4 linked regions of the Schizosaccharomyces pombe genome follow. Changing the gene in region 1 together with any one later gene gives a genetic interaction. Each region holds a gene or a part of one and is shown on either strand. Other genes may lie near its edges. The genes, in order: klp3, gdt1, amo1 and btb1.

Evidence for each region.
Region 2: mutations in klp3 (region 1) and gdt1 together harm fitness less than expected from each alone (positive genetic interaction), as found in Schizosaccharomyces pombe (one large-scale study listed by BioGRID).
Region 3: mutations in klp3 (region 1) and amo1 together harm fitness less than expected from each alone (positive genetic interaction), as found in Schizosaccharomyces pombe (one large-scale study listed by BioGRID).
Region 4: mutations in klp3 (region 1) and btb1 together harm fitness more than expected from each alone (negative genetic interaction), as found in Schizosaccharomyces pombe (one large-scale study listed by BioGRID).

The regions. Positions count from the first base shown.
Region 1 is NC_003424.3:4,703,129-4,711,549, forward strand, and holds klp3 (kinesin-like protein Klp3), read left to right. Parts: upstream 1-3,649; 5' UTR 3,650-3,786; coding exon 3,787-3,897; exon of another isoform or gene 3,898-3,950; coding exon 3,951-4,050; exon of another isoform or gene 4,051-4,258; coding exon 4,259-4,332; exon of another isoform or gene 4,333-4,377; coding exon 4,378-4,531; exon of another isoform or gene 4,532-4,604; coding exon 4,605-5,830; 3' UTR 5,831-6,124; downstream 6,125-8,421. Other genes in the region: mannosyltransferase complex subunit Alg9, read left to right, coding at 1-1,193; mo25 family protein Pmo25, read right to left, coding at 1,662-2,096, 2,182-2,634, 2,690-2,791; phosphorelay sensor kinase Mak1, read left to right, coding at 6,842-6,910, 7,011-8,421. UniProt on the Schizosaccharomyces pombe protein: Cytoplasmic motor that could play a role in Golgi membrane recycling.
Region 2 is NC_003424.3:5,538,097-5,545,554, reverse strand, and holds gdt1 (GDT1-like protein), read left to right. Parts: upstream 1-4,073; 5' UTR 4,074-4,416; coding exon 4,417-5,205; 3' UTR 5,206-5,523; downstream 5,524-7,458. Other genes in the region: SPOM_SPAC186.06 (isomerase), read right to left, coding at 2,582-3,136; SPOM_SPAC186.04C (uncharacterized protein), read left to right, coding at 6,454-6,981.
Region 3 is NC_003423.3:3,026,671-3,033,762, reverse strand, and holds amo1 (nuclear rim protein Amo1), read left to right. Parts: upstream 1-3,537; 5' UTR 3,538-3,570; coding exon 3,571-4,825; exon of another isoform or gene 4,826-4,885; coding exon 4,886-5,058; 3' UTR 5,059-5,078; downstream 5,079-7,092. Other genes in the region: SPOM_SPBC15D4.13C (ASCC1 family protein), read left to right, coding at 541-874, 941-1,002, 1,053-1,271; protein mug98, read left to right, coding at 1,634-1,667, 1,706-2,013; SPOM_SPBC15D4.11C (Mam33 family protein), read left to right, coding at 2,422-2,708, 2,850-3,003, 3,042-3,392; met3 (cystathionine gamma-synthase), read left to right, coding at 5,490-7,092. UniProt on the Schizosaccharomyces pombe protein: Involved in the cell polarity process where it is required for the correct termination of microtubule growth at the cell ends during interphase.
Region 4 is NC_003421.2:128,490-138,292, reverse strand, and holds btb1 (BTB/POZ family ubiquitin-type ligase substrate adaptor Btb1), read right to left. Parts: upstream 6,899-9,803; 5' UTR 6,777-6,898; coding exon 2,733-6,776; downstream 1-2,732. Other genes in the region: rpl2402 (60S ribosomal protein eL24), read left to right, coding at 1-197; DNA-directed RNA polymerase III complex subunit Rpc37, read right to left, coding at 544-1,272; sdh3 (succinate dehydrogenase cytochrome B subunit), read left to right, coding at 1,794-2,336; mRNA 5'-cap (guanine-N7-)-methyltransferase Pcm1, read right to left, coding at 7,280-8,362; rRNA processing protein Enp2, read right to left, coding at 9,095-9,803. UniProt on the Schizosaccharomyces pombe protein: Probable substrate-specific adapter of an E3 ubiquitin-protein ligase complex which mediates the ubiquitination and subsequent proteasomal degradation of target proteins.

The sequences.
Region 1 (8,421 bases):
GTGCTGTCATTGGCTGGCCTTTTTCAGCGGCTTTGTCTATCCCATTTATTCTTCTCGAGCTCGTAGATTTGAAAGGAAGGTTTCGACATTTATTTTGCAGATGGTTTAAGGCTATTTTTGTTGCTCTCCTTATAACCGGTATATGCATTACAGTTGATTCTTTGTTTTATCACCGTATTCAATTTGTAGCTTGGAATATTGTTAAATACAACGTCCTCGCCAAAGATGGTCGAGGCCCTGATATATATGGTACCGAACCTTGGTGGTATTACTTTGCAAACCTTTCATTGCAGCACAATATAGTGCTATGGTTTGCCATGGCTTGCGGACCATTGGTTCTTTTAGCTGCCTTTACCAACTGGATCAACCTTGATTCGTTTTTGGACCTTTCTTCCGTAATTTCTCCTTTTTACATTTGGTTATTTATTTTCATTATACAGCCTCATAAAGAAGAACGTTTCATGTATCCGATTTATCCGGTGCTCTGTTTGGCAGCAGCTATAGGTTTGGATATGTCATTAAAGTTAATGATTCAAATTTTATCTAGTATAAATGAAACTGTGAGATCAAAGTTTCCGGTCCGGTTTGTCGTTCTTTGTGTTTATGCAATAATTGGATGTTTGAGCATTGCTCGTATATTGGCTATTCAAAATTATAATGCCCCTATGATAATTTATCCAGCCATAAGCTTTTTGGAAACAGATAACAACGTGACTACTAATGTTTGTGTTGGTAAAGAATGGTATAGGTACCCTTCTACTTTCTTTTTACCAGATAATTCACGCCTAAAATTTGTAAAGAGTGAGTTTGACGGTATTTTACCCGGTGAATTCGTTGAATCTAATTCAACATGGTGGAACCGTGAAGGCTACTATCAGATCCCTGAACACATGAATGAATTCAATAATGAAGAGCCAACTCGTTATACTTCTCTTGAGTCTTGCGATTTTTTAATAGATTTAGAGTTTGATCATTCGAAGGCCACAGTCAACGAACCGATATATTCAAAGTCTGACGGTTGGATTCCAGTCATGGTGTACCCTTTCATTGACACGAAACAAACTCCTTTTATGGGCAGAGCTTTTGCTGTCCCCTTTATTGAGCCTAAATGGGGCCGATATGAGATATTGGTGAAAAAGCCGGTCAAGATTGATTTTTCAAATTTGCGTCGTGCCTCTAAACAACAAGCTTAAAATTTTTAAGAGAGTGTATGTAAGCCTTTCTTAGGTTGTTATTACTAAAAATTGTAAAAGTCTTTGCAAGCATATGTCCAAAGCTTTAAATTCTCTAAGAAGAAAGAAAAGGCTGTGGAAACTCAATTACATAGAAAAAATGCGAAGTTATTTTACATTTGATTTTCCAATTTGTCAGATATTTAATTAATAATTAGTGTCAAATAATCTATCTAAACGGTTGACTTGGCGATGTCAGACAATCTTAGGAAGTCTTAGTACATGAAATAATAAAGTTCTTTTATTCATGGAATCGGTTAGCAATTAACCTAATGCTAATATCTAAAGCATCCGTATCTCATGCATCAAATATTTCAACTCGCATATATCATTTAATAAATCTAATCTACAATTTTTTTTCCTTTGTAAATATAGGATGGACAACAGCATGATTTTGAAAGACATGAGCACATTGGTGAGTAACAAGAGTCATAAGCGTTCAATCTGTTTTATTACAAATGCGCGTTCATCATTAAACTGCTCATCATTTTTCCGGTCAGTATGAAAAGCTGACAAGTAAGAAATCAACTTTGATTTGTTCCTCCTTAATATTTCGATTACTTCTTCCGACTTTTCAGGATTAGCAACAAACAATTTAAAAACATGAAAAGCTTCAAATTGAATGTTTTTACTCTTATCTCTCAGCAGAATCATCATTAGTTTCAGATTCTCAGCAGAACTAATATAGCGTGTCATGACTGAACGGTTAGCACGATTAAGAAGAATTTCCCCTAAAAGCTTTAAAGATTGACGTTTGGTAACATAATTTTCAGATTTCAAAAGGACAGTGTATTGCTTAAAAAACTCGTCAAAATGGTATGAAATAAACTCAGCAACTTGGGATTTATGATTAAGAAGAATAGACTGATTAAAGTTAGTAAATGCAAAACTAGCGGGAGTATATAAAAACATTGCAACGACAGAAGTTTTATTTGGGGATAATACGTACCTTAAAAGTCGAAAACGCATCACTCGCCATATCAAAACTAGAGGCTTGTATCAAACTAAAAAATGTCCAAAAATCTCGTGAGTTTAAAAGTACCTCATTAAGGGCTTCATGACGGGAACACTCACGAAGGATAGAACCAGCAGTAAAAGCTACTTCCTGGTATCGATAGTATGAGACCAATACTGGAAAGATTTGCGGGTGCGCAAGCATGTAGTCAACAGTGGGATATCTCGATGCTACATGCCTCCTAAGTAAAGCGCTAAATATTAGTCCTGTATCCTTTTTAGACTCAAACTCCAATTTCGGTAAATATCGAACGAGTAAAAAAGGTAAATTCGACTGGTAAATTTGAAAAGATAAGTCTGATACGAGATCAGCATCAGGCTCTACTTCAGCTGTCCCACACAATGAAACCCGTAAATTCTGTAAACATTTGGAAACTTCCTCAAAGGACTGTTTACGTTAGTCATCTAAACGAACAAAAACAACAATTACTAATAATTAATACCTTCTTTTTATCATTGTTTATTTCCAACTTTGGGAGATTATCACATAAGCAGCGAACAACATCTTGGGTTGATTTTGGTCGTTTATTGAACAGAAACGACATGCGGAATTATGGAATTCGGTTTCTCTAAAAACTTATGGCATATGACAGGGTAAGTAAAGTGGGTGCCAGGCGATGGTCCACAGTGGGGGTCTATTTTCATATTCAGTTGAATACTATTAAGGTACACTTCTTGAGTATTCAAATTACCTTTACTTATACCTGAAGTGATACCAATGTGGGGGTTGTTACATCTCGATTATACATAAGTAATCAAGTATTGAAACGCAGGTGCATTTAGATGATAGCAAGTGTACTAAGTAGATCTATTTATGAATTATGCATTTTCCATACCTTTTTCTCTTCGGTAAATGAATTGGTAGGTTGGTATAGCTAGTAGAAATACAAAGTAGTAAAACAAACGTTTTTTAATGCTAATGTTTGAAATAGTATCTGGGATAAACTTGTAAATTGCAAATACATCCAAATCTCCATATAAACTTCACAATTTAAAAAAATTATTTAATTTAAAAAAAAAAATAAATAAATACCTGCGAGGTTTCTCGTTCTTACCATTTAATCAAATTTTCATAAATAAATATGTGAGAAATTGCAATCCAATTTTCGTCACAGATATTAATCAGACGAAGGGTAAAATACTCTGCTTAAAATATGAATCAAGATTGAACAATCTTAAGAATTTTATACATGTGTAAATCTTCAAATAATATCAGGAAAAAAAGAATATGTAGAAGGAAGTAAACAATTTTAGCCTGTTGATTTGTAAATTTATTTTTTTTAATTCACACTTCGAGCTTTAACATTAAACAATTATGTAGTTAATTACATGATATTATTCTGTTTTTGATACGTTGCCTTAAACAACAATTATTGTAGAGGCACCATGTTAGGTTAACCTCGTCTTTCCCTGTATATGAAATTAGCCCGCTCACATATTGTCTTTAATGATTTTTTTGGATGTATGGATCTAATTTATATACTGCGTTTTAATCATACATTATTTGATTTTTTATCTTTTTATAAAGCAGTTTTACTCAATGACTTCAATTAAAGTAGTGTGCCGAATTCGGCCCACGAACCAGTTGGAACAAGACCTTGGAGGAAATAATGTGATATACCCATTAAACGATTCTACTGTTCATATCGAGGTAGGTTTCAACAATTGATCTTTACTTTAGAATTCGGCTGACATGATTAAAAGACTAGTGATTACTCAGGAAACTTTGTATTCGATCGTGTTTTTCATCCTTCTAGCACTCAGAATGATATATTTTCGTATTCAATTGAATCGACAGTCGATGGTATGTGAATGATAGTAAAACTTTACACGGCGTTGAACGGATTAATTTCATCGTTGTCAGCAACAGCTTGTATGAAATTATAGCATAGCCTTTTTTTATATGCGCTCGTTTTGACGCTTCATTTGAAACGAATTGCCATTTTAATACATTGTTCGAATCACATTCAAGTTGTTCTGAATTTCATTAAATATGTACTAATATATTATAGACTTATTCTTGGGTTATAACGGAACAGTACTAGCCTATGGACAGACAGGATCCGGCAAAACATACACCATGATGGTATATTCACAATTTCACCTGGCACACTTTTCTAACAATCTTTAGGGTATTGAAAATAATTTCGAAAAAGAAGGAATGACTCCAAGAATGCTCAGGCGTATTTTTGACAAAATCCGCGATTCACCATCTACTACTGAATACGAAGTGAAGGTATCATACATGGAAATCTACATGGAAAAAATTCATGATCTACTTTCCGGTAAGCCTTCAAATGCCGTAGAAATTTTGCGACGTTCGTATTTAATTTCAGCAAAATTAACCATGATTTACAGAAAAAAATGACAGACTGACGGTTCATGAAGATAAACTTCAGGGAGTTTATGTTCAAGGTTTAAAAACGATTTACGTATCAAGTGAAACGGAGGCATTGGATATTTTAAATAAAGGTATGGGGTCACGTGCCGTTGCAAGTACGTCGATGAATGCGCAAAGTTCACGGTCTCATTCTATTTTTGTACTCGAAGTTGTCCAAACGGACACTGAGTCCGGCGAAACTCGACGAGGCCGGTTGTTTTTAGTTGACTTGGCAGGTTCCGAAAGCGTAGGAAAAAGTGGAGCAGTCGGGCAAACCTTAGAAGAAGCAAAGAAAATAAACCGTTCTCTTTCAACTCTTGGAATGGTTATTAATTCTCTCACAGACAGCAAATTATCACATGTTCCTTATAGAGATTCCAAGTTAACGCGTATTTTAAAAGAGTCTCTTGGTGGAAATTCTCGGACCACTCTAATTATTAACTGTTCACCAGATTCATACAATGCAACAGAGACCTTATCTACTCTTAGGTTTGGACATCGTGCAAAGAGCATCAAAAACAAAGCGGTAGTAAACTCAGAACTTTCTGTTGATGAAATGAAAAGACAGCTGTATATTTATAAAGATGCTTTGTCTCGTTGCGTTTGTGGAGCCAGAATTAACAATAACTTAGACTATAATAATTGTCATTCTAACGTATGGTCAGGCGAGCATTCCCTCACACTGTCAAATCTCGCCGAAAAATCCAACTTAAAGGAAGCAGAAATCATTCAAGGAAATAGAACAATTCAGGAAAGTAATAATGACAGAGACGAAAGCACAGTTGCTTCGATACACAGACATAACTTTGATTCTGATTCTATCAATCGTTTGTATGCTGAAGCACAACTTGAACTTAAACAACGAGATGGTGTTTTATCATCCACTAAACAGCAATTGTCAGACCTTATGACTGCATTGGGCGATGCTCAGGAGCGGTATGTTGAGCTTGTTAAAAACCACAGAGTAAATTCAAATCTTACTGCAAACAACTCATTAAATGACAAACCGGGTTTTACAATAGAACAGAAAGATAAAAATTTTTCGATAAATAACGAGAGAAACAATTTTTTACAAAAACTGAGTACTTTGGATTCCTCACTGGCTGCTCTAGTAAATGTTCAACGAAAATTGATTAAAGCTTTAATTTCCAAAGAGCGACCTCAAAATGGAACAGTAATTAAGAAAATTCAAGGGGGCACTTAAAAGCTACACTTTTTTACTCTGCTTTGCGAAGGATTATATATGTTTAATTAATTTCTTTAGAGTTGTTGAGCTCACATTTAATCATGAAATATTGCATCTCGTCTAGCTGCTTTCTGAATAAACTAATTTTCTGACTAATTATTTATGCAGCTTCTTTTATATTGCTGCAGCATTATAATATAAAAGAAAACAGCTACGCAGCAATGCATTGTTTATATGCTTATTCAGCAAATGTGTAACATCTCAAATGATGATGTAATAACAATTCAATAAAAATTTACCGTTATAATATAATCAGCGAATTTAGTAATCTGAGACTACTATTCTTTAGCAAGGATTGACTATTGGCTAAGCAATCATTACCTTTTTTAAGCTACAACGAACTGTAGTTTAAGTGTTACTTGCGATGTATATAATCTTATGTAGGATGTTTATCGTAGATGGTAAAATGTTGTATCAATATAATTATGATATTGAATACACTAACATAACCACACATATATGGCTTATAACTGAAGTCAGGAAAGAAGGTTTGAATGTATCAACATAATGCATTGTTATAAAACTACTAGTATAGAAGATTTACACTAAGGATGGAAATACGGAGAATCATGAATATTATGAAAAGTTGAACTAACGCAGCACAGTATAGTGTAGTGACTTGTTTCTAACAGAACGATCATATTTACTAGCCACCAATCTTCGCTAAACAACATTTACGCGATCTTCAATATCCATTTACATTTTGCTAACACAACTTGTTGAGTTGTTTCATTTCCCTATTTCGAACACTTTTTACCAATCTTCAGTGCTGTAAAGTCGCTAGGAAAAAAGCGTTTTAAATGGTACGCTTATAATTTCCATTGCTGGTTGCCGTGGTCAAATAACTCAAATACATCAGTTTTTTATTTGAAACGATCTTTATAAGATAGCACTTTCTTTTTGGTAATTACAGTTGGAAACTTTGTTTTATTTAGTATCTATACTGGCCTGTAAATTTAGTCTAAAAAAATGAGGCCACCTGACGATCAAATCAACAATAACGTTGGTTCTAATTCTCACTTGGAAAAGTTGAAAGAGGTAAGTGATTTCAATACTTGGATTCTCCTTTTTTAAATATGAAATAAAATGTGATATCTCTTGTTACTTAATTAATTTAAATTACTAACGTTTGAATAAGGCCATGGACCACCAGCTGCAAAAATCATCAAAAATTGTAGGATCGTTTACTAATTCTCAAAACTCTTCTGTTGGCTCTGTTCATTCTCCGATACTTGAATCTCCCACCAGTTTAAATAGGCAGCATCGAAATTCATTTTCTTTCAATAATGTATCTTCTCCTTCACTAGAGGATGAGCGACTTATTAATTTTCCCCGAGTAAATCCAAATCGATTGATGACATCCAAACGTCCCAATGAGTTATTTAAAACCTCCTCAATGAGTTCAGATTGCTATTCTCCTCAAAAATCTAGGGAATCACTAAATTCATTATGCCATTCACCTGCTCCATCCGTTTCTTCTTGTGGAAATGCTTTGAACAACGATAATACTTCTGCTTCGCACTCACTAACTGATGAGCAACCATTTGAAACAGATTCATCCGCTAACTTATTTAAGCAGTTACAGGAGAAGCGTAACCGTACCATTGGAAATGTGTATGAAATGGCTTGCTTATTGGTCTTTAAAACCGGTTTGATGAATTTCTGGAAAAACATTATTGACTTTTTCGCTCAGCAGTTTTTTTCCACTCAAATATCTGTTGTAGAACCGCGTGACCTTTCTGACATATACAATACTCCTTGGCAACTCAGATGTTATTACGATGGCGGTTCCCATTATGATCCGTATAGTAACCCTATAAGTGTTAATGACAACCTTGCTAGCAGTTCTTATGTTACCGTAGTTGCTTCGGATGGTTCAAAGGGTATTATATACAAAGATCCAGCTTCTCTTAAACATGAAGGGGATTTGCTTATTGATAGCAAAGTTGTACAAACAGTCTTGGAGCGTGCGACATTGCTTGTATATACACGTAAACAACAGCACATTGTTAAAAACACCAAGGTTCATGATAATGATTACTTTAGTTCTATACCTAATGTTGATGATATTCGCAGCATTAAGAATTCATGGAAAGTTTTTCATGATGAAAAACTTAATGAATTGAAAAAGCAGGTTGAAATTAGTGCTTCTGCAGCTCAGTTAAATGGACTTTATCCACAGAAAAAGAGAGCATTTGTTTCACATTTCAGTCAGAATCGTAAACCGTATTCCCAAAGTGACATTTCAAAAGCACAAAGTTCGTCTTTTTCGGAAGAACCTTCAAACATTTATGATGAGTATGAACAAAATTTACTTTCTCCTTGGTCAAGATCTCCAGTTGCTAGTCCCTCCATTCAAACAGATCCTAATAGGAATCCATTCTTCCAAAATTGCTTGCAAGAATCTTCTTTCGCTACTGAATCGTCAACAGAGAAGTCTGCTTCAGAGTCCGTATCAGAAACAGCTGTTAATGATGATTGTAAAGGTATGAATTTTTCTGGTAACAGGCGTCAAGAAGATCATTTGAACGACTTCACCAGTTTTCCTA
Region 2 (7,458 bases), 830 kb from region 1:
TTTCAATTTCTTTATCTTAAATGAGAATTTAGTTTGAGTTGGAAATATCATATTGAAAAACTTATAATACCCTATTACTTGAACGTACATAACGAGAGAAAATACTGCACCGTTAAACCATAATTGCTGTGTCAATGAAAACGTAAATGATGAAAAAGTTTTGCAGTTTCCTTATTGCTTTGAAGTTAATAAAATACTAAGTTGAATCGTGATCCACTCAAAGTGCTATCGTAGAGGTCTGCAATCGTATGCACCTATTAAGGTAACATTCTTACTTTAAATCAGTATCTCGATAATTCTTTCTTTATTGCTCTTCCCCCTATGAACACTTCCTTTAAACAATCAAATTATCGACATTGGAGTTCGAACTGATTGATCTTTTACTTCTTATTGTTTCCTTAAGCTCCCCGACACTAAACGAGGCGCTAATCCATCAAATTTATTGAAAGCAAATATGAAAAAAAGGTCAAATTGTTAAAAAAAATTCTTTATTTTTAATTAACTAAATTTTGTATATCAGTTCAATTAATTACATACCTTAATTCAAATCCAAGTATCGAACAGAATAAAAATTTTTACTAATTACTTTATTCTATTTTTACTAAGCATTCATGTTCATCAATTGAAAAATTCAATCCTCCAATTTATTTATTTACACTAAGATTTTTTAATTCATATCTTTCGAATGTGTGATATGAATTGAATTTAGAATATTTAATGGATTGATCGAACTTTATTTTATAAGACTTGTTAACTTGTTTATACTTTATATTCATCACGTTAGTTTATTAGAAAAAAGTCTTTGATAAGTGAACATACAGGAATCTTAAGGAAGACAAATTAAAATTCAAATGATACTTCTTTCATATCATCCCAATTCTACGACACATTAATGGCAGAATAAATTTGCGGATCTGTATTTGACTAATGCCGCTTTATTCTGGATAAAAATGCACTTTGTAGCCTGGTTCAACGATTGTGTTTTACATTCCATATAAGCCGTATTAATTTGGCCTAAGTTACTACTGTCACAGTTTTCATTTTCATTAAACCATTAGATCAACATTCCTCTTTAAAATAATTCAGACTCTACCTCAATCAGTGATGGTTCAAATTATTTACAGTTACCGAACTCTGGTAGGGCGAGCGGACCTACTGATGAATTAGTATGTTTTCGCTAAGTATTATCGTACATCTGGCTCACTATTAACCTATAGTTGAGTAAATAGTACAAGTTTAAAATTCAATAGCTATCATAAATGTTATTATCCCAAAAATTCCAAATGTAGTGTATAATTAACGGGTTTGGTCACTATATAACATTGTGTAGTAATAGTGGAACTAATTTTACAGCAACTTCATCTATACAATCAATATAATCACGTTTAACATGCCAAATATGTCATATCGTATAATATGTTAAATGGAAGAATGAAGGTTATAAAAAATGAAAGTTTTAGCGATTTAAGAGTTATATGTATTGCTTATTTGATACAAAGATTAAGTTTAACATTTTATTTGTATTTATTTTTTACCTAAAAAAGGTTAGAAAAAAGGTCGCATACGCTGCTGAATGGAGAAATTCAGAATATGTCACATTATCTTGCCCAACAACTCTAATGCATATGCGGGTTTATTTAATTATATAAAATAATCCAAAAAACTTATAGCGCTTAAAGGGTTCAACAAATATAGTGTAATACACTCCTGAATAAATTTCTACATCTAAGTTTTGGTTCAGTTCGTTCATAACAATTTACATTAACAATACACACAACCGAAAAATTGTATTTAGTCAAAGAAACAAAATTTAATTATTATGACTTTATTCGAATGATAAGCAACAATATAACTTTTCACGCTATTATTATTATGGAATATACAAAGTCCCGATACCCGAACACTAAAACATCTAATAAAGAGCCATTAATCGTATAACCCAACACTTATTTTGTATTAAAAAAAGGGAAAAGGTATGAATAAGGTAAATACAATAAATTTTCAATGGTTGAGTAGTTTAATGATGGCAAGGGTATTTCTGTTGATATGTTGTTTATTTGACTTTGCAGATTATATAAGTTTCTTAGATAATTGACAGAACCTAGAAATTTTAGGTATTCTTTACAATTCTTAGGTTGTTTCCATTGTAGGACTTTGTCTATATTTTCTTGACAAAATGTAAATTCCTTTTCATAAATATGATACCCTACAAATTCATTTGTTAGTTTGTAAAATTTTGCGCTTTTGCTTGGTTGATAATCAAATGTGCATTTTTCAGTCTCTGTAAAACATCTTTAACATGCTCTACATGTGGTATGTTATATGGGCGATGTTCTAATTCATTAAAAATCAGAACCGATTTTGGTTAAGAAATCACTTTTTTTATCGAAAGAAAAGAAATGAAAAAATAATGAATAATAAATTCAAAATCCGTTGATCAATACATATTGAATATCACTATTTTTAATTGCTATTTTAGGATACCGATATAAAACAAACCCTATTCATTTTTTTAATATTTTCAATATTTATCAGTAACTTAACGAGTGAATATTTTATCAGTCCTTTTGTTAAATAAAAATCAGATTTCTGCAGTTCCAGAAATGCAGATTTTGGATCCGCCACCAACATGAATATCGTATAATCCGTTTGCAGACAACTTGATAGCTACTCGAATTAAAGCATTTCTGCCTAATATCTTTCCTTGATTAAATAATAAATGAGCGAAATCGGAAGAGATTATTGATGGATTATTGAGGGCGAAAAATACACCAACTGATCCAGCTCCACTCCCATTAGCAGGATCTTCATTTACCCCATGAACAGGACAAAAACTTCTAAGTTCGTATGTCCCGTCGTTATACATTCCAAAAATTTGGACGCCAGTCAACGAATTTTTTGAACAGCACTCAAAAATAGCTTGAAAATTAGGATTCAAGTTCAAAACATCAGCACCGTTAGGTAGTTGAATTATAGCATTCCTTGGACCAACATCTACACAAAAAGGAGTATTGCATTGTGAACATGAACCTTCACATAAATTCAAAAATTTTTCCAAATCTACTATTACTTCTGGTGAGATACTTGAAGTCTTATAACTCGGTAATTTGAAAAGATATCCAAGTTTGATTGACATCTTCGTTATGTAACGTCAATTCAACAAGGCCGGAATTACATTGCTGCACTACTTTATTTTTCTTGGCACTACAAGACTTATTGTCCAACAAAACAAAGCATGATCCGATAGTAGGATGACCAGCAAATGGAAGCTCACAACCCGGTGTGAATATACGAATTCTGTAATCTGTTCCTGGGATGGTAGGCTTCTGTATGAATGTTGTTTCGGATAGATTGGTCCACTTAGCGATTTGTTACATTTGCGTGCTGTTTAAACCGTCAGCGTCCAAAAAAACTGCCAGAGGATTACCAGCGTATCCTTTAGTAGAAAACACATCGACTTGCCTGAATGGATATAATGCCATTCGTGCAGATAAAGCTATGTTAAGTAAAGCTAAATAATTTTGTCAACAGCTTAACTGAGAAGGGTTTATATATTAAAAAAATTTGATTAGCAAGATACAATCTGAAACTCTTATCTAGCTATGTCTACTGATGTATAAAGATAAACTGGAAATAGTGAAACCTAATGTTCGACGTGCTACGATTATCACTATTTGGTTTCCTGTAAAATTTTTAATACAGTCACTACGTTGCGTATCATTATACGTCACATGTTCATAATGTTCTATTTGCTCTATCAACTTCACATAATAAGTTATTAATACGGTTGTAATATCATTTATGATAAAGTAACTAACTATCAGTTAAAATTGTTGCTATTTTAAATGTTATAAGCAATATCAGTTATTGGTAACATTATAACCTAGATAATACAATGCCTATACTCATCTGCTACTTCTACTACCTGTGTATCGCAATATAATAGATCACAAGGAAAACTTGCCGCATTTCTACGTATCCTTAAATCAGATACCAAACTGCCTAGCTGACAAAATAAAAATGGTCGGTAATTTTCCCATGCTTATATATTACTTTTTTTCCGGTGAAAAGCTAAGTTTTCCCACATCCGTGTTGGTAGAATCTAACGATTTTGTTTCTTTAAGCTTCGGATTGGATCATCCGTGACTCAACTTCTTCTATACATAAAGTGTGCGTTGTAATTTTCGATAATGTTTTAAACATCGAAATTTTTTGTTTGTATTTTAGAAGGCCTTAAGTTTGAGACATCATTATATTCGTTATCAGCATTGGCCATCAATTACCAACTTTCGTTGTGCCTAACCACCTGAATTGCAAATTTTAGATTTTTATTGAGTGAAGCTTCAAATAACTGTCGATTAGAGTTATTGCTTATTCATTGTTTTATCTTCCTTTACCCTCTAACGTAAATGAATCATGATTAATGTTGAAAGTCCCTTAAATTTGGAAACTACTTTAGGCAGTTTGCAGTTTAGTCATGGTTCCGTTCAAAACATTGGAATGTCAATATCAATGATCATAGGCTGTGAGCTTGGAGATAAATCTTTCATCGTTACTGCTCTGTTGGCATACCAATATGGACGGGCATCCGTTTTTTTTGGTTCATATTTGGCTCTTTTTTTTATGACTTCGTTTGCTGTGTTAGTTGGGCGTGCTGCCCCTTTTCTGTTCCCTAAATCGATAACACATATTCTTGGTGGAACACTATTCTTGATATTTGGGGTAAAAATGCTGAAAGAGAGTAAAGAGGTCAGAGAAAGTCAACAGTCTCTTGAAAATGAATTTGACAAAGTCGAAAAAATTATTGTAAACGAAGAAGATATGAAAAAAACATTAGAATTGGGATTACCAGCCAGCAATAGAAGCAGCTCTACGCTTAAAGACAAATTTTTCAAAGTCTTTAGTATGAGCTGTTTTAAAAATCTGTTTTCGAAAAAATTTTCCCGGGCTTTCATAAAAGCTTTCGCACTAATTTTTGTTAGTGAGTTGGGGGATCGTTCTCAAATTGCTACCATTGTTATGTCGGCAAAGGAGAAGGTGCTTGATGTTTTCATTGGGGTGAATATTGGTCATATGCTGTGTACAATGGTAGCGGTGATTGTCGGAAGATACATATCAAATAAAATCGAAATGTATAAGGTACTGTTCTTTGGAGGGATTGTATTCATGATTTTTGGGATACTGTACATTTTTCAAGGCTTTTGATGATGATGGTTACAATTTTTATTACTTTGATATTTTATAGCTAAGTGAAGAAATAATTTTCAACGGTTGCTACGTTTTATACCTTCCGATAATGCTTTCAGCGTTAACATACGACTCTTTAAAGTCCTTATTTAGATTTTCCAAAGGATTTAAATTCTTAAAAAAGCAATGCCATTTACTCGTTGTGAGAAAATTATTTTGATCGGAAATGACTTATTTTGCTAATTTATCTGTCAGTTGGCACCAAATTCTCTGTATTTTGATACTATTTTTTAATAACTTCAATGCAATAGTTTCGTACAATTAACTGTATACTGGTTACTTCAAGTACTATACTATATATGGAATTAGTAATTTAATAGCTACTTTTGTACAAATGTATATTTTAGAAATTATTTATACTATTATTTGCATTTTTGACATATTCTGTTTTTGATAAAACTTGTTTATATCAATATTCAATACTTATTTACAATTTTCTCATTAATTGTATTTTTCTCTTTATTTATTTATTTATTTTTTTGTCACTATACAATTACTCTAAAGACCATACTAACTCCATTGCAACGTTTTTCATAGATCGCTTCTTTAAAAATAATGAGAGCTACAAATTAGAAAAGTTGGTTGACAGTACTTACTTACTCTTTACTAAAAGGAAACTCTTGAGATGAGAGATAGACTCTAATGGAGTCCGAATGAACCTGACCCCACTTAAAACTCCATTAGGAGTCGACTAGTAGTACTTCGAAGCCCACTAAGCGAACTTCGGATGAAGTACAGCTACTCCTCTTTATAATGACATAATGACATAAAGGTCAATAAAAAATGGCGAACCGACTACACGATCCAAAAGGACTACCACCTATGGTTTCAATGATTATATTAGCCTATCCACGGCCCATTCAGATTCTGTGAAATACCGAGTACAAAGAGGTTGTGCTGTAAATTATATAACCAAGGTGATCGGTTACATTGTCCACATTAATACTTGAGACCGATAGGCACATATGCGAATGCGTATACTAAAGGATTATCTGTTGTGGAAGCAATCATAAAGAAAACTTCATACGTTTCAATAGTTTTTCCTTACTAAAGCGCAAGCATTTTGTTAAAAAATCGAAAAGAAAAAGTTGTAAGAAAATTTCCCCACCTTCTTCATAAATCAATTAAACTTCGTCCGGGTGTATCCAAATACGTATCGTGAAATTTCCATATAAGTTGAGGTCATTCCTCTTCATTCTATATTATATGAACACTTCTTCACGAATTCAATTGCCATCATCGAACGATGCGCACGTTTATGATGGCCGATCCAATGAACCAAAAGCTTCAAAAAGATCCTATGTTAATCTTACACGACAAATGAGACCTAAAGATGCCTTGAAAATGAATATCTCTTCTCCAAACCTTAAGGACCTAAGCAAATTTGCAGACCCAGATGCTCAACAATGGCTTGAAGGGTATTTGGCTGGAAAACTTGAGGATAATTCTAAAACTCCTCGTTCAAATTTTGTCGATCCTCTTTACGAAGAATTAAATGCGCGAAGAAAACCCAACAAGCCGGTGTGGAGTTTGAGTGGCCCTTTGCCGCATGTTCTTGGTAATTCTGTGGTTGAGAAACTAGAGGCTCGTTCTAGAGCTTCATCAGTATCAAATTCTAGACTAAACTCCAGAACTAACTCTTCAGTTTCTCTGAAAGGTATGGATGGATCATCCAGTTGGAAAAATAAAATAAAAAACGCAGTTTCTAATGTCACGGATCAGAGTAAACGATGAAAAACTAGCCAATGAAAATCATTCAGTCTTTATGGTAGAGCAAGTAGGCTTTAGTTCAAAGCAATTCTTATTTCTACAAATCATCAATCGCCCATAGTAAGGTGTAAGGTTATACTCAATTGAATTTACTCTTATGAAATTACAACGTAGATCGTTTTACGAATGTGGTTCCGTGATTCAAAAACAGCAGTCAGTTTTACATAGCAGTAGAAGAAGTTAAGACTGCCAGCTGATTATAAATAAAGAAGTTAATGAAGTCACTTTTAATTCGTGTAGCAAAAACAAATTTTTATTCCTTAACTACTGGTGCAAATTAGGCATTTGCTTCTTAAGGTTCTGCTGAGTTTTCGGGAACTCAAGTTTGGATGTCTTTGCTGTAGGGAAGTAAAAGCTACTTCTATGAAAGAAAATGTTGGAAGTTTTCAATCTCTTTCTTTTCCTTGGGGCTTTTGTTTGATGGTTAGCGTGCATAAATCT
Region 3 (7,092 bases), on another chromosome or scaffold:
TTTTTCTTCTATAGTTTAACAACTTTTAATAATTTTGTGGTGGTGTTGAATAGTCCATCTGGCATCCTTAGTTGGACTGTGTATCTAAACTCAAACGAAGCGTTGACTCACCATATCTAATAATTGCAGCTATCTTTCTTATTTTTTTAAGAATTGGAATTGTTGATATATATGTATGATCAAATGAACTGCTTCGCATTTTATCATCTAAAGATTAGACTAATAAGTCTACCGATTTTAGGATTTGACAACTTAATATTTCTTAATGACGCTATATGAAATTCGTTAATTCAGCAATAGTAAATCAATGGATAGGATGAAGAACAATTTTCGTTTCAATATAAACGACGTTGTTAAACATTATTATTAGTACAGCCTGATTATTGTTATGTAGTCAATTTTAATTACATTATAAATTTGTAAGTGATTTCCTCTTACCTCATATTTCATTAGCGATCAGTGAATTTTGTTTGAGCCGCAGAACAACTTTCCGTAAATAAATTACTTTGAATACTTTGCCATAGTAATCTGTTAATTATTATGCGATATCCAAATTTGTTATTCTTGGCCTTACCGATATCTGAGCACTATATCGAGGAATCTTTAAAGTATTTTAAACTAACATCTAATGATCCCATGATATTATCTGGATTTCGTGGCCCTCGTGTCTCACATCTTACTATTGGTATGATCCCGGTTAAAAACGACGAAGACGTTCTCAAGTGCATGGATTTTTTATACAACAAAGAGGATGAAATCCGAAAATCCTATGGCGAGAAAAAGATTACAATCGATTTAAAGGGAACTTCTTTCTTTGGGAAATCTCCTCAGGAAGCCAAGGTGCTGTATGCTACTCCAGTGGACAAGCATAATGGTAATGACTTACAAGCCTTTTGTGGTACGGAGTTTTTATTTTTTTTATTAATAAGCTAATTCATAGAATGGTTAAAAGTTATTTTCACTGAACACAATCTTTTTACTAAAGACGCTAGACCTCTTACTGTACGCATTATGCGATGTTAACCAAATTATAATTTTGCTAACAAAACTAGCTACACTGCACCTTGTTAAATTCCAGGTATATAAAATACCAGGGGCGACGTATCAGGTTTTTTAATTCGGAACCTTTTATGGAAAAATACGGTCAATTTCTTTGGGCTCATAATATTGAACTTGATAAACTAAGTATTATGAAAACAGGCGCTGTTGGAGAACCGGGTAATATGTATTATGAAGAGTTAGCCTCAATTCCTTTACTCGTTAATGATTGATTATAAAGGTAGTAGTTGTTGTTTACAAAAACGCTTTTGGAATCGATTGTTTACCACATGATAGTCACATGTGTAAACAAATATGAAATTGGTCATAGAAGTAATATCGGTGCAATTTATAACTCATTTTGTTTTGACGAAGCACAAATATATAATATAGCTCCTTTTACCATCATTTCTCGAAATTGATTGAAATTTTGGAAACTATTCAAATTATTTTGAGATCCTTTATTATAATTGATTTCACATATACATGCTGATAATTTGACAATGGAAGACAAAATTGAAGGTAATAAACGAACCATTCACATCTTTTAACACATCTCATAGTTTGCTTGCAAAAGGCTATTGCTGTCGACACAATGAGCATTCCGGTAATGCAGTTAAAGCATGAGCGTAAGTAGACTAATTTATGTTAAATTATTAATTATTAGTTGCGCTTAAAGCCCGAGAAGAATACCTCCGAAAAGAACTTCCTTTGAAAGTTCGAGCAAATACTTCTCGCATGAACCCCGGAGCTAAAACTTGGATTCCACAAATTAATCACCGAAAAAGTAGAAATCATTATAATCGTAAAGAAACATGCCAGTTTCCCCCTCTATACAATGTTGAAGCTAAAATAAACCATTCATATTCTGCGTTTTATCGTCCGTTTACCAAACGTGAGAATGGTTTGTGGTATGCGAATCCGTATTATATGCAGCATGGTCCAAACGGAAATTACCATCACGTTTATTATTAGTCATGTTTTCAAAATTTTGTGCCAATTTTTTCAATTTCATTCAAAAACCGCATCTTCATCATTATGGTTATAATCGACGCCGTTAAAAAACCAGGAAAAAGAATTTCATAGTCTTAATTTCTTTATTTTTTTCTTTAATCAGATGTCTACAATAATGATTTTTCCATTAATTATTTTCTTCATCCATTGCTATGGTATACAAGCACTTTAGTGAAAACCGCTGTATTACTTTAAAGTCACTGCTTTGCGTACTTCTCATAAGGAAGCAAATTCAGTTAAAGTGCTTATTGTCATATGCCCCATTGCATTAAATATTTATAATCTGTACAATTCATCAATCCATTGAAGAAGCAAATCTTTGTTGGACGGCTTGTAACAATTCTATTCTTCAGCTTATTGCACTTCAAAATGCTCAGAAAAGCGATCTCTACAGCACGAAACTTTAAATATCCTTTATTTAATTGCGAAAGGAGGTTTTCTTACTTTGATATGTTTCGTAGTAAACGAAAATTTACAAGTGGTATCCTAACGGAGCAACTAGCGTTGAAATTAGATTCTGAACTGGGTTACGTGAAACAGGTTCTTGATGAGACATTACCTAAAAAAGGATACGAAAAGGCTCTTCATTCTTTTATAATCCATGAAGATCCTTCGCTTAACTACATTTCAGCTTTAAAAGAAACGGCAAAGGAAAGGTAAGCTATTTTTCCTCAATTGTTTGTTGAATTCAACGATGTGATTTCATGTCTATGCGTTGGCTAATATACAACGTTTAAGATTATGCTTTCAGCAGAGCCTTTAAATTTCTTTCGATATAATAGTACTAACGTAGCTAGAATACGCGTTACTGTTCCCGTATATAGCTCTCGTAAAAGTTACGTCCAAACAAAGCCGATAACGCATAGTGCTGAAAATGAAAATGGTAACGAAACATCTGATGAACTAGTGTTCTTTCAGCATTCAATTCCTGCTTATGTCCAACTCACTAACGTAAGATCTTAACATGTTATTATAACTTACAATTATAGAACCATGGCACAATTTTGTGTGCTTTAATACTTTGTAAGGGCATGCTTCATTTTGATAGCATTTCTTTTCAATCACCTCAAAACTCTCAAGCGTTCTCATCTGACTTGAGGTTAATTTTACAAAAATCACAGAAGTACACTGGCAGAAAAACAAAGCACGTTCCAGCTTCTATCAAGTCAAGTTTACTTGAATTCTTGGATGAACAAGGAATTACAGTAAAATTCATGAAGGCGCTAATATCTCGCAGTTGGCGAAAAGAAAATGTCTCCTATAAGCATTGGATTCATAATATTATTGGATTTATTTTACCTTCTGAATCATCAACAACTAAAAAATCAGACTCCCAATGATGGTATAATTGTTCTTTGAATTCCTTTACTTTATGATTAATTGGAGCAATAACGCTACACCACACTACGATTCCAAATGGGACGCCCACTCTAAAAATAAGAAAATTTGGAGTATAACATATGATTATGATACATTTTTATACTTATCTTTAGCATATCATTTCAACTATTCAACAACATGGTCGTTTGTAAGTATTTCCTTCAAAATCGGTGCAGGTATGGTACCAATTGTAAAAATCAACATACGGTACCTTCTAATGGACAAAATGCATTTTCTAAGGTTAATGTCTTTCGTCCAGAGAATGGACGACCTCCAATATGGGTACAAAGGCGTTTGAAGAGAAGCGATTTAGATAATTTGCTTCCCAATAGAAGAATGAAGGATATTAACGACGATCTTAAAAACGCAAAACCACAATGGCCTTTTACAGGTTATTCAGTAGTTGAGAATCTACCATCAATTTATGAAGGCGATGTTTCGCCTGAAGAATTGCGGTGGTGGGCATATCAGGCTAAAGCGACAAACAATATGCAAGCATATGAACAACGCCAGAAACAGTTGATGGATGATGTAGAAGCAAAAGCAGCAGCCGTTAAACGGTCGCCTGCTGCTGCTTTCGATGAAATGAGAAATAAACTCGTCGGAAAGACAAATTATAAGTCAATTTTTGATAAGTCTACTAGCAATTCAACGGTTACGTCTAATCAGTTCAACAAGCCAACTCAAAATAGTCCTTTCAATTCTTTTTCAAATAACAATAATTCTTTCAATAACAATCAGCAAGCAAACGATATTTTTGGCGCCCCTACGACTTCTGCATTTACATCGCAATTAAATGCGTCTCCATTTTCTCAAAATACATCCTCAAATTCATTTACGGGAAGTAATCCAGTCCAAAACAACCCATCTTCTTTTGGTTCGTCTAGTTTTGGTTCGGCAACCTCAGGGCCATCAGCATTTGGGGGAATATCTCAGCCAAATTCGTCATTTGTTAATTCCGGACAAGGGATTCCTAACTCATCATTCTCCTCGTTTTCACAAGTTGCTTCTGGGTTTTCACAAAGTCAAAATGTGAATGATCCAAGTTCGATTTTCGGTCCTACTGTTGCCAGCGGTTTTGGAATACAGAATCAGCCTCAGCAATCAGCTTTTCAAAATTTGAATACTCAATTCTCGCTTCCTAATAATTCACAACCAGTTTTTGGTCATACATCTTTAACACAACCAGTGAACCCAAATGGTTTTACTGTTCAGCCCCCTGCTACTTTTATGCAACAACCTCAAGGCCCTTTTGTTCCGCCTAATACTACTTTTGAATCTCCATTTGCCAATGTAACCTCTAAAATATCCGCTTCAGGATTTTCTAACGATAATCCTGCTAACAAAAATATAATCCAAACTCCTATGTTTGGATCTTCTAACACAATTGACGGTAAGTTTTTTTACTTTGTATCCTTGCTAGTATACGAATATGACTAACGATCATCGACAGGTCCGATTAATCCAATAGGTGCTTCTTCTATCCAAACTTTGGATGATCAAGTAGAAATGAGTAATTCCAATCAAAATCTCGCATTTCCCCCAGAAATGATTCAGCAATTTGAAGCTCAAGATTTCATTCCCGGAAAAGTTCCAACAACAGCCCCTCCACCACAATTTTGTTAATTATTTTATTAAAATAGTTATTCAACGTAAGTTTTTTCGGGGATTTTTGATTAGTATTAAACTTTGTTCAAATTTCATATTCGATATTAGGTTGTAAATATATATATATATATATATATGTAATTTCAATTACGAGTATTAGACAAAGTGTGATGCTTTCCTACACGGCTATCTGATAAAGTTGTACCTAACTCGATTTATGTATCATTGTAAAATTCTAGAAAGAAAACAGTACTATTTTTTGTTATTAATTCATGAATCAAACTGATAGCTGATTTGATATAGAGGACAGAACTGTCCTGCACGCCTATTGGGTCTAAAGAGATGGTTGTCCCAATTCCACACACAATTCACTCCAGATTTTTGCAAGAACCCAAAACTTTTGTTTATGGCTATTTATATATAAATCTCAATTTTATTTAATTCTTTAAATGTCTGCAAATATTTCTTACCTAGTCAATCCACCTACAGAGGTCGGTTCATCAATTCCAGCTGATACTGAACATGCCATTTCAGTTACTTTACCTACATGGAAATCCAATGTTGGATATGAAGAGGGAGATCCTAATGTAACTACTAAAATGAAGTCAGGATATCCGAGGTTCTTTATAAGCGCACACGTCAAGGATTGCATTAGCATCATAAAGAAATTTCCAGAGATTGAGATTTTGAAGCTAAAGGACTACGATATGTTTTTGTATCCTTCATTATCCGTTGCTAAGCAAAGTGCAGCTTTTCTTGAAAGTAAAGGACCTATAGACTCTGCGGAAGTCATTATTTATGATGCCACGAAGGGACTGCGAAAACATCTTGATTCAATTGACCGAAATCGCAAATATACTGAAGAAATACACATACCTCAGGTTTATTCTGTATTGTTTCCATCCAAATACTTTGGGATTGCCAAGCAATTCTGGCAACATACGGGGGACGGTATTTCAAGCAGACGCGCAGCTGCTTTTCTGCATTCCTACAAAAAAATTCAGTCTATTTCCGAATTTTTGGTTGCCCAGAGGTCTATTTCTCATCTCAAAAGTAAAAGCAGAAGCCGATATGCTTCCCATCCAGATCTACAGGCTTTGAATACTTGGATGACTAACGAAGGAAACCAAGCTAATGATGAAATGGAAGACGTATCCCTATATTTGGAGGAGAGATATGGGCGTAATTTAGATTTAAGTTTGGCTACAGCAGCTAAACTTGTTCTTCGACGACGTATCGCTGGTACCTTAAAAGATGAAGTTGATTTGCAAAAGGCTTTACCCAAAGAAGGGTCTCAGTATTTACGTGAAGTTAAAGGTTTAAGTCACGACGATGTTTTTTTATTTCCTACTGGCATGAGTGCTATTTACAATACTCATCGCATATTAAGGTTGGTGCTTGATGATAGCCGTAAAAGTGTTTGTTTTGGTTTTTGTTATGTTGATACCTTAAAAATTTTACAGAAATGGGGATCTGGCTGCTACTTTTATGGACTAGGTAATGACGAGCAACTTGATGAGTTTGAGAAACGGTTAGAAAGTGGAGAGAAAGTTATGGCATTGTTTTGTGAGTTTCCATCAAATCCTCTTTTAAACTCTCCCGATTTGGTTCGTATTCGGAAATTAGCAGACAGTTATGATTTTGCTGTCGTGGTTGATGAAACAATTGGAAATTTTGTCAACGTTGAGGTTTTACCATTAGCAGATGTAGTTGTCAGCAGCCTCACAAAGATTTTTAGCGGTGATAGTAATGTAATGGGAGGTAGTATGGTTTTAAATCCGTCAAGTCGTTACTACTCTCGAATAAAAGATGCTATGAAGGCTCTTTATGAAGACTTATTATATGATGAGGATGCTTTGACATTAGAAAGAAATAGCAGAGATTTTGCTGAACGTTCACAAGTGATAAACCATAACGCGGAAACAATTTGTAATTTGCTTTATCAAAACCCTAAAATTAAAACTCTATACTATCCCAAATACAATACATCAAAAGAGCATTTTGAAGCTTGCCGGAGAGAAAATGGAGGTTATGGTGGTCTTTTGTCTGTCG
Region 4 (9,803 bases), on another chromosome or scaffold:
CTAACTTGGATGTCATTAAAGAGAAGCGTAACCAACGTCCTGAAGTCCGTGCTGCTGCCCGTGCCGCTGCTTTGAAGCAACGTAAGGATAAGAGGGCCGCCTCCGAATCTGAAAAGAAGGCCATCAAGGCCAAGTCTGCTGCCAGCTCTGCTCGTGGCCAAGCTATTAAGAATGCCAAGGTTGCTGCTCGTCGTTAGTTAAAAATAAATGAGATGTTTCGATGCTTTGGTTTAATCATTGGAGTCTATACTTGTACAAGTAGAGTTTTTTTTTTGTTTGTATACCAAGTGAAATAGAAGTTATGCACTATTGTAGCAGGCAGTGTTTAAAGTGGTACAGTATTGATTAAGCAAATTGCATATAGCAATAAAAATGGTTGATATTAATTTCGTCAATATTTTCAGTCATCATGTTAGCATCTGTAAGTAAATACGACTTACTCTTGTATAGCAATTAATGAGAGTCATGTCAATTTTATCTGTTTTGCAATGACTAAAAGCAGTTTTTACGTGAAGAAATATATACATAAACGCATTGATTAAACTAAATAAAGGAGTAATCTTCATCAACAGCAGCGCACTCGTTTGGTTGATGTTCGATGGGACATTCTAATTGCTTCAATATTGACTCGGACTCGCGTTCTGGGCGACAGTCCAACTCAACCCATTCCTCCTCCTCTGTTGCTCTAACTATGTGAGTGGTGGAGACTTTTGGTGCTTCTGTATTTTGTTTGGCAGTAACCTGCACTGCGCGAATGGGTCCACGTGGGGTAGACGTACCAGACGAAGAATTTGAAGGGCCAGCAGCAGCCTTTAACTTTTGTGTATATTCATTTACATGTTTCATTGAGGGCCTCAGCTGCGTTAAACCGCGCAACGGCACAATATGAAATTGCCCGTCGCGAATTAGACCGACCATCAAATTGGTCCTTGGTTTCTGAAGTCTTCCAGAAAGTGTTTGGGTCTGAATTGGCTTTTTGCCGTTACCATATTTCATTGCCTTATCCTCATTATAGTATTTTGTTGTAGGAATGGGTACATCGACCTCCATCCAGCCAGTCTTCGGTTTCACTCGAACATCGATTGGTGCTTCACCATTTGCATCACTGTATGTGCGGTTTTTAGGACGAAGGGGAAATTGATTTAGTAAAAGATTATTTCTAAGTCCGGGTGAGAAAAATACCGGATATGTCCGCACCACTGGATCCTGCTCTTCAGTTTCATCATTTCTCAGTTTGGCTTCTTCCATTGCTTGATCTTCTGAAAAGGACATTCTTTAAGTCTTTTTATCTATTAACTTTTCCGTAAATTATCTTTATACCCTTTTTCCCTGCAAAAAGTACTGTTAAATTGAGGCGACAAATTTTTACCTAGTAAATGAAATCCTTTGCCAAAATATTAATATACCTTTTCCACTTTCCAATCAGTTTTTTAATACAATAGCTGTCTTCAAAAAATGCAGAAAATCTTTATTGTGAATGCCTCTCGACAAAATTTCCAAATTATTAAAAGAAAATGGTTTTTATCAAAATATAAAATTGGTCGGTTTCTATAATTCGAACTCCGGCCTTTTAACATTATTGCCTACAGCGAGCGAATTGCTAAGCGGAAAATATCTTCCAATAACATACTGCGCAATTCCTCTAGCTACCAATACCATTTGTTGCAGTACACATATAATTAATCAGTTGAAAACTTGTGTCTGCATCCATTTTTTACACTGTACAACTATTGAATAAGTATTCTTTTAAAAATTTGAATTATCCCCCTTTTTTTTTGCGACCCAATTTGACCATGTTCGCAACTCGCTCATTCTGCCTAAGCTCTTCTTTATTCCGTCCGGCTGCTCAACTGTTGCGCCCTGCTGGCCGCTCTACTTTACGAAATGTTTGGAGACGCTCTATTGCAACCGAACATTTGACCCAGACGGAGGCTAATTCTCGTCTTGCTTCCCAGCGTGTTCACCGTCCAAATTCTCCTCATTTGACTATCTATGAACCTCAATTGACTTGGTATCTATCCAGTTTACATCGTATCACTGGTTGTGTTGTCGCCGGTACTCTTTATGCTTTCGCTATGGGCTACTTGGTGGCTCCTCTCGCTGGATACTCTTTGGATACAGCTACCATTTCTGGTCTTATTCAGCAAGTTCCCACCTGGATCAAAGTTCCTGCTAAGTTTGTTATTTCTTATCCTTTGACTTTCCACATTTTTAACGGTATTCGTCACTTGATCTGGGATACCACCAAGGAGTTAAGTCTAAAGGGTGTCTATCGTACCGGTTATGCTGTTCTTGCCCTTTCCGTTTTGACCTCTGGCTATTTTGCGATGATTTAGGTGAATGGAAACAAACCTTATCTTTGCTCGTTTTGTAATTGCTTGTCACGGTTTCTCTAGTGAATTTACGAAGCAGCATCATTTCTCCTATAATTTTTCCACTACAATTGGATCTGTCCTTGATACACTATAAATTACCGTGTATATCGAATTCTTGTATTCATTCCGTACGTGCTTTGAATTTCTTTATGACCAAAGTTTCCTATTCAATTTTATTATTTTCAAATATTGAATTTTTAGCGTATGTAAAATGTGTGATTGGTATCGTGAAACAAAAGCTTAATAAATAATTCACCATGTAGCAAATATTTTTTCTTATACATATCTATTAAAGTATCTCTTCATAAGTTGAATAAATTAATGTCCTGAATTTTTTGTATATAGTCGTTGTTATGGTCATTTGACTGCACGTGCTTTTCCTTTCTTGTGAGTAGTCCTTGGTATATCAATAGGAAGAGATTTAAACTCCGCAGTGGACTCTGACACTTTGGAATCTTTTTCCTTTCTGTGCCTTCGTTGAGGTTGTTTAGAAGCTTGTCCCTGTTTTCTATTCGTAGAGGTATCTCTTTCAGTTTTAAGGATTCCAAGTTCTTTCTGTACTCTCAAACTCTCCTCCTCCCACCACTTTTGAAACTCCTCTTCCTGTTGTATCTCCTCAATTGTTTTTCTAAAAGATGATCTCCTCTTTTGACTCTCAATTTCTTCTTTCTGCTCAGTCATAATCTCCGAAATCGATAAAGGTTGGCTATTTTTTGGTAAAGAAGCAGATCGGGGAGATGGTTTAGTAAGTAGGTTCCAACTAGTTGGAGAACCATTGGAAATGCGCTTCTTCGATTCTTGATAAATTACTTGAGATGAACCTTCCTCTCGAGCTGCCTCTCTAAGAATACCATTAAATGACTTTTTCACTCCAGTTGATGACGAAAAACTGCCCCTCTGATGTGTTGCTACAGACCAAGGGTTTGAGTGATTCGATTTACCCAACTCGATATCGATGTGGCCAACATTTGTTTTGGAAATAGGCACTTGCTTTGAAAGCTCCTTTTTTTTCTCACGTTGGGATTTTTTAGTTGGAGCTTTCATAAATCTAGAATCAGACAAAACCGTAGTAGTTGAAGCATCAGCTTTCTCTTGCTCCAGCAATTCTCTAAGACTAGCTCTAGTAGTGTTGTTATTATGAGAAAGATTTTCCCTATTCCTCCATGGACTCGTTTTGTCAAAAGTAATTGTTGCAGTAACAGGTTGATCAGCCCCAGGACCATTTAATTGTGTTTTATCCCCTCCTGACGAAGCAGACTCTATATTGTTTTGAATTTCAACAGAAGCTCCTGCTGTCTTTGTAATGCTCGTAACGTTAACAACATTTGGTTTAGGAGACTTCTCCTCAGCATCTTCCTTATTTAATGAATCACTTTGATTACTTGAAGGAACAATTCCAGATTCTAAAATTACTGCTGAAGTGCTGCATCGACGATCTTCAAAAATAGACCGATAAGGGGAATCGTCCCATAATTGAGAACTTTCCTGGGAAAACAAGTATTCTCTGAGAACTTTAAGCTCATAATTTCTTTTTTCCATCAACACTGGATCTCTTATCAATAATCTATTAGCAATCTTGCTAGAAGGAAGATGTACTCGTTGATCAGAAAGCAATTCAGTTAAACGTTGAGCGACTTTTTTTAAATGGAAACCATCCCATTCACTTATACGATTTGCTTCCAAAAAGAATTCAATATTGTGACAAGCATAATCAATACATCGTGAATAAAGCTCCTCAGCGTGATAACTAAGTGAAAGATCCATTAGAGTAGGTAGAGTTTTCAAATTTAAAAAGCGAAGTAAGGATTGCTGGGCTATGCTTTTTAGTTCAAGAAAAAGAAGCTCGTCTGCAATAGACAAAATTTCGAACATAGTTTCCAACCAATTATGAAAATCGGATTCTTTCAAATCGTCAAAAAGCTCAACTTTTAAGTCACTGTATACATGACGAAGAACAATTGACATATGCTCAACAGTCAAATGAGACAAATTGACGGTTATTGGGATGTCAAAACTATTGCTTTCCATAGAAACAAATTGGAAATAAGAACTAAAGTATTCACTGCGGAGACTTAAAAAAAGACCATGTGCCTTGAGCTCTCCATCTTTAAGCTTTATTACTGTATCCATTGTTTCTTCGCATAAGACATAAAAATTATTATATAGTTGCAGAATGTCATTCGTTAAAGAAAGCAAAGGTTGGCGGGAAACACTAAACGGTAAAACCTCCGCTAAATGAGGTAACTCCAGTAAGTTTGCAAGTTTTGAAAGGTTTTCTTTTAAAGGTGAAAAGCGTGAATCAAGATGCCATGGAGAAAGCAATGTATCCGTGTACAAATAATGCAAAAGAATAGCAACCGCTAAAGGAGGAATATCTTCAACTCTAATTGTTGAATGAGATTGAGTGATTTCTTCAATGTAAATGATGTTGGAGACACTCGATTTCTTTTTTTGTAGCAATAATTTTCTCAAAAATGAAGATCGAGCACACAATATGAACTTATGTGAGTGGAACATAGAAGTACCACAATAAATAGTAACATCAGAAAATGATTGCTTATAATTTTCATAACTAGTAAGAATCGGTATAGATCCTTCAAAAAGTAGCTGCATCTCATTGCTGGATGCAGCGCGGTCTTCGTCAAAAATAGGGACTCCGTCTTCATCTTCGGGAGGAATCAAACGTGGTTGTCTTACATGTAAAAGGTGGTCATAGGGAAGTAGTGAGCGCAAAAGATCAATTAACATATTCGAAGGCTTGTAGATTGGCGGTGGAAGATAATCATTTCGAATTGCAAAAAATGATCCAGAAGCGCTCGCACGGACTCCAACAACCATTTGTAAATTTTCAATTCTATTATATTTGTATGGTCCTCTAGAATACGGGCTACTAGATGACTTTTCTCGCTTTTTTGACCTTAACTCCCGTTTCCAACAAGTGCCATTTCTAGTACATAGTATTAAAGAATTATCAGCGGTCCACGCAATATCTAAAGCTGCAAGGTCTGAAGATTCAAAAATCCATAATGGAGTAAATTTGAATGAAGTTCGTGTGGAATTCTTGGAAGAGGTAGAATCACGATCAAGTAAAAGCTTCATATCAAATTCATAGACTTCGCCTAGTTCTGTAAGCACGGCTAGTTTGTTTTCTGAAGCTAATAATTTTCTAACGTTAAATCTGGTGAGGGAAAGAGGATGCTTAGTTACCTTTAACGAACTACCAAAGTCAACGTTGAATGGCAATTTCACTTGATTATAATTGCAAAAGGCAATTATACTGTTGTTTTGTAAAAGGCATATCGTAGCACGAGTAGTACAAACGGCATGTATGACAGGCGATAATAAGCCAGCAACTCTCCTTGGAGTAGAAACAACTGAAATATGATCAGATATACCTAATTGGCCATTATTTAACCCCCAGCTGTAAATATCAGTGTCAGTCCAAGCAACGCTATAACTTTTTCCAGCCGCCATTCCAATTATCTGATAATCCTTGAATGCAGAGATACGCCTAGGGGTAATTTGAATTGGATCATCCTTTTTCAGTTCGTCATTAGAAAGTCCCAGTTCACCAGAACCATTCTTTCCCCACGAATAAATACTTCCGAACTTTGTAAGAGCAAGTGAATGGGTATGACTAACAGAAATCTGGATAACTTTATGAATGATACCAGGAATAGGAATAAAGTTATATTGAACGTCCGTGTTAAAACCTATTCTCCCTCCAGCACCAATACCACATACGTAAACATTTTGCGACGGCTCATCCGTTAGTACGACGCTGTGAAATTTGGAAGCCTGCACATCAAGGATTTTGTCTCGGGAAAAGAGTTGACCTGATGTGGGAGACTCTGTTTGGTTTTTCAGTAAAAACACTCTTTCTGGCGATGAAGGTTCTTTCCCATTTGCTATTCCGAGCGTATTGTTTACGTTAGTACCAAAGCCATAAAGTTCATTTCCTATTATCGGTAAGTCAAGAACCGGATGAATAGTGCTTGAAAGGACTCGTGATAAAAATTGAAATGGAGAAAGACCTTCTTTGTCTTTAATACGCAATGATCTGAAGGAGGGATCTTTTGATAAAAGCAAAGACGCTGCTTCCAAGTTGCCAACGTAGATTGCCCGATGCAACGCCGTATATCCAGATTCTTCATCTTGCACAAAAACATCAATGCCTTTATGCTGCAAAAGAGATCTAACAAAGGAATTTTTATTCTCAGAAACGGCGATGTGCAGCACGGTGCGTCCGTATCGATCTTTTTGGTTGATACGGAGTTTTTGTCCGCTCTTTTCCGAAAAACCCTTTCTAGGCTCTTTCACCTTTGAATCATCTTGCTTCAGTAGATTTTGGAATGAGCGAATGTCGTTGCAAAGGTAATACGCGAAAAGCAGATGACTCATTTAATCAATCGAGACTAAAAAAGGGCGCAATGTGAATTTATCATTTAATCAATCGATTACTCCATAAGAAATTTTCTCTCAAATCAATTAAAACGTTCCAGTTTTTTAACTTGACTGTTGCTGAAGAAAAAATGGAAGAAGAGTAGCAGTGGATGCTGGTAGTTGAATACCGACAGGTGCATTGATTTAAGCTATCGCTTAATATTTGAGGCAATTTTTGGGGCAATCTGATTTGATGAAATATGCCTGGGAGCATACTTTATTTATTCGCTTAAGCTGGAATGAAAGAGAGCATGTTACTTATGTATAAAATATATGAAAACAGAAAAAGAAAGAATAAAGGCATAAAAATGAATAAATAAATAAAAGTCATTGCCATCAAAAATTAATCTACATCTTTTAAAGTCATCTTTTTTTCTACCACTGTACTGATCTTTCGAGCGTGAAAGATCTTTCTACAATGCGGTCTGCACAGTGAATCAGTGGGATAAGGAAAGAAAAGACTAAATTCCCCTCTTCTCAAAGGCAAATGCTAAATAAAATCCTGCTGCTTCTTTTTCCTGTCCACCAATTCCACGGTGTCCTTCATTATCAACGACTTTCATTCGATCCATTAGGGGTCCATACGTTTCAGAGTTTTTCTCTTCATTTAAGATGTCCAAAAAAGGTTTTACCCATATTAATTCAAGATTGTATCCTTCGGCAACAGCACGAAAGGCTTCAAAAGGAACTACATATTCAGGAACATCGGTAACAGCATCCTCTAAATAAAAATAATATTGAATTCCATACGGAGGTCGAAAAGAGCGTGGAGGTGATTCAGGAAATCTGACTTTGTATATGTCATTTCCCCATTCTTTTTCTCCTGGTTTAAGCATTTTAATATGTTTGACAATTACATCGGAATTGGGAATCGTTCCTATCATTACTCCACCACGAGGAAGGCATTTAGAAACGTTCCCCAACAAGACCCTAACCTTTTCTTCGCTTTCAAATGCATAATGCATGCAAAACTGTAGAGAAACAACGTCAAATTTTCTTTGGTCTGGGGGAAGTAATTCGTTAATTGAGCTAGAAAAACAGTCGCCAGCGTAGAATAGTGCATCAAAAGAAGCATGCATTTCACGGTATCTCTTCTTGGCCTGATTTACGGAAACTTCAGCTATGTCAATCCCAATATATCCATCAATGCCAGCTTTGTCCCATTTAATTAAATCACCACCTTTTCCACATCCCATGTCTAGTACCAAAATAGGATAATCAGAAGCATGGGGTGCGAATTTTTGTATGAGAACAGATTTGATCCAGTTGTTAAACCTCTTTAGTTGAATAATAGGAGAAAATTGTCGTTTTTTATAACCCAAATCAGGACGCGCGTTATAGTGTGAACGTACCACATCCTGCGCATTACCATTGTTTTCATGCCTATTATAACCTCTGCGACCAGAGTTGTCATTGTTTTGGAAGTAATCGCGACGCCTTGGTTGTTGTTCAATTACTCGATTCATTTGTGCAGTAGGTCTCGCATATCTGCGATTTTCTGTTGGAGGCTGTTCCTCATGCACTCGGGAGTTCGAGCTGCTCATATCTCTTATTATAAATATTATTATAAATAAATGAGAATAGTTTCTTTCAAAGGTTAACGATCTTTCCATCATATGATGACTATCCATCGATCACAAACTTACATACAAATAATTTTCTTCAAAATAATTCAAAAAACAGAAACTTCTTTAAAAAAGATCAAAAACATATGACTTTTAAAACTTGCTTTACTGTCTTAGAGAAATTAGACTATATTCAATAGCATGAGGTTGCAGTGTGGTTGGTATACTGGCGAGAAAAGTAGATGTTGCAATACGAAGTGGATTACCAGATTCTTTACATTACCACAGCTAAGATATATATAATTTGTTGACAATGTTTTCAATTCAGCCAAATTTAGTTTACATATAAAAAACGAACCTGCTTCTAAATAAATAAATAAACAAAACTTGAAATTTTGGGCGACTAATCTACTACTGCCAGATTGCAACAAGAAGTAATCATAAAACAATGATAGATACATAAAGTAGATATTTCATTAAATTGCTTATTGCTTACCTATTAAAAACCGAAATTAATTTTTTGAGCACACGAATCCATCGTATGCGAAACCCAAATACCAACTTGCTAAACCAAAAATAAAGCTAAATGAAGATGTATACAACACAGAAATTTTTTATGAAAAGTGACAGATAATGTATGCACGCCTGCAAATGTTTCTATATCCGCCAAGTAGTGGTAAACACAAATTTGACAGTTCTACCGTGCTTTGGTTACATGTTTCGGAAAACGTTTTTGCTAGCTGAACGTCGACCTTGAGTAACTTGTTTCTTTTTGCCAGACGTTGAATCCTCGTCTCGATTAACAGGTTTAGACTTCTTTTTCTTTTCAACCTTGAATGTCATTTCCATACCAGAGGGAGTACTACGAATGGTTTCTTGAGGTGTCTTTTCATTGCTGACCTGCTGCTCCGTCTTTCTTCTGTCAACAAGTGCATCGAAGGTTTCATTTTCTTCCTCCATATCAGACAGTGACTCCTCATCAGAACTAAACTTAATACCCTTGGTATGTTCCTTTTCTTCTTCGGACTCTTCCGCAGCAGTAAGGCCCCTTGCTTCAGACCTAGAAGGATGTAATTGCTTATATTCCAAAGTATCTTCATCCACTTCAAATTCTTTATCTGTGAATACATTTTTGAAACGTTCGTCTTCAAGGATGCTAGGTCCGTCCGTAACGCCAGTTTTCTTACGCAACTTGTTCTCTTGATAAGATAATCGAGATGCCAATCCAGCATTGACTTTTGGACGATTCTGAGAACGAATCTTGCTTGCACGTTGCTTCTCCAGACGTTCTTTGACAATTTTTTGACGATGTTCCTCATAAGAGAAGGGATTAGCAATCAGTCTTGCCTTTTCATACAGATTATTATCAATAAAGAAACCATGCATGTAAGCACGAATAACACCTGTTCCAACAAGATGA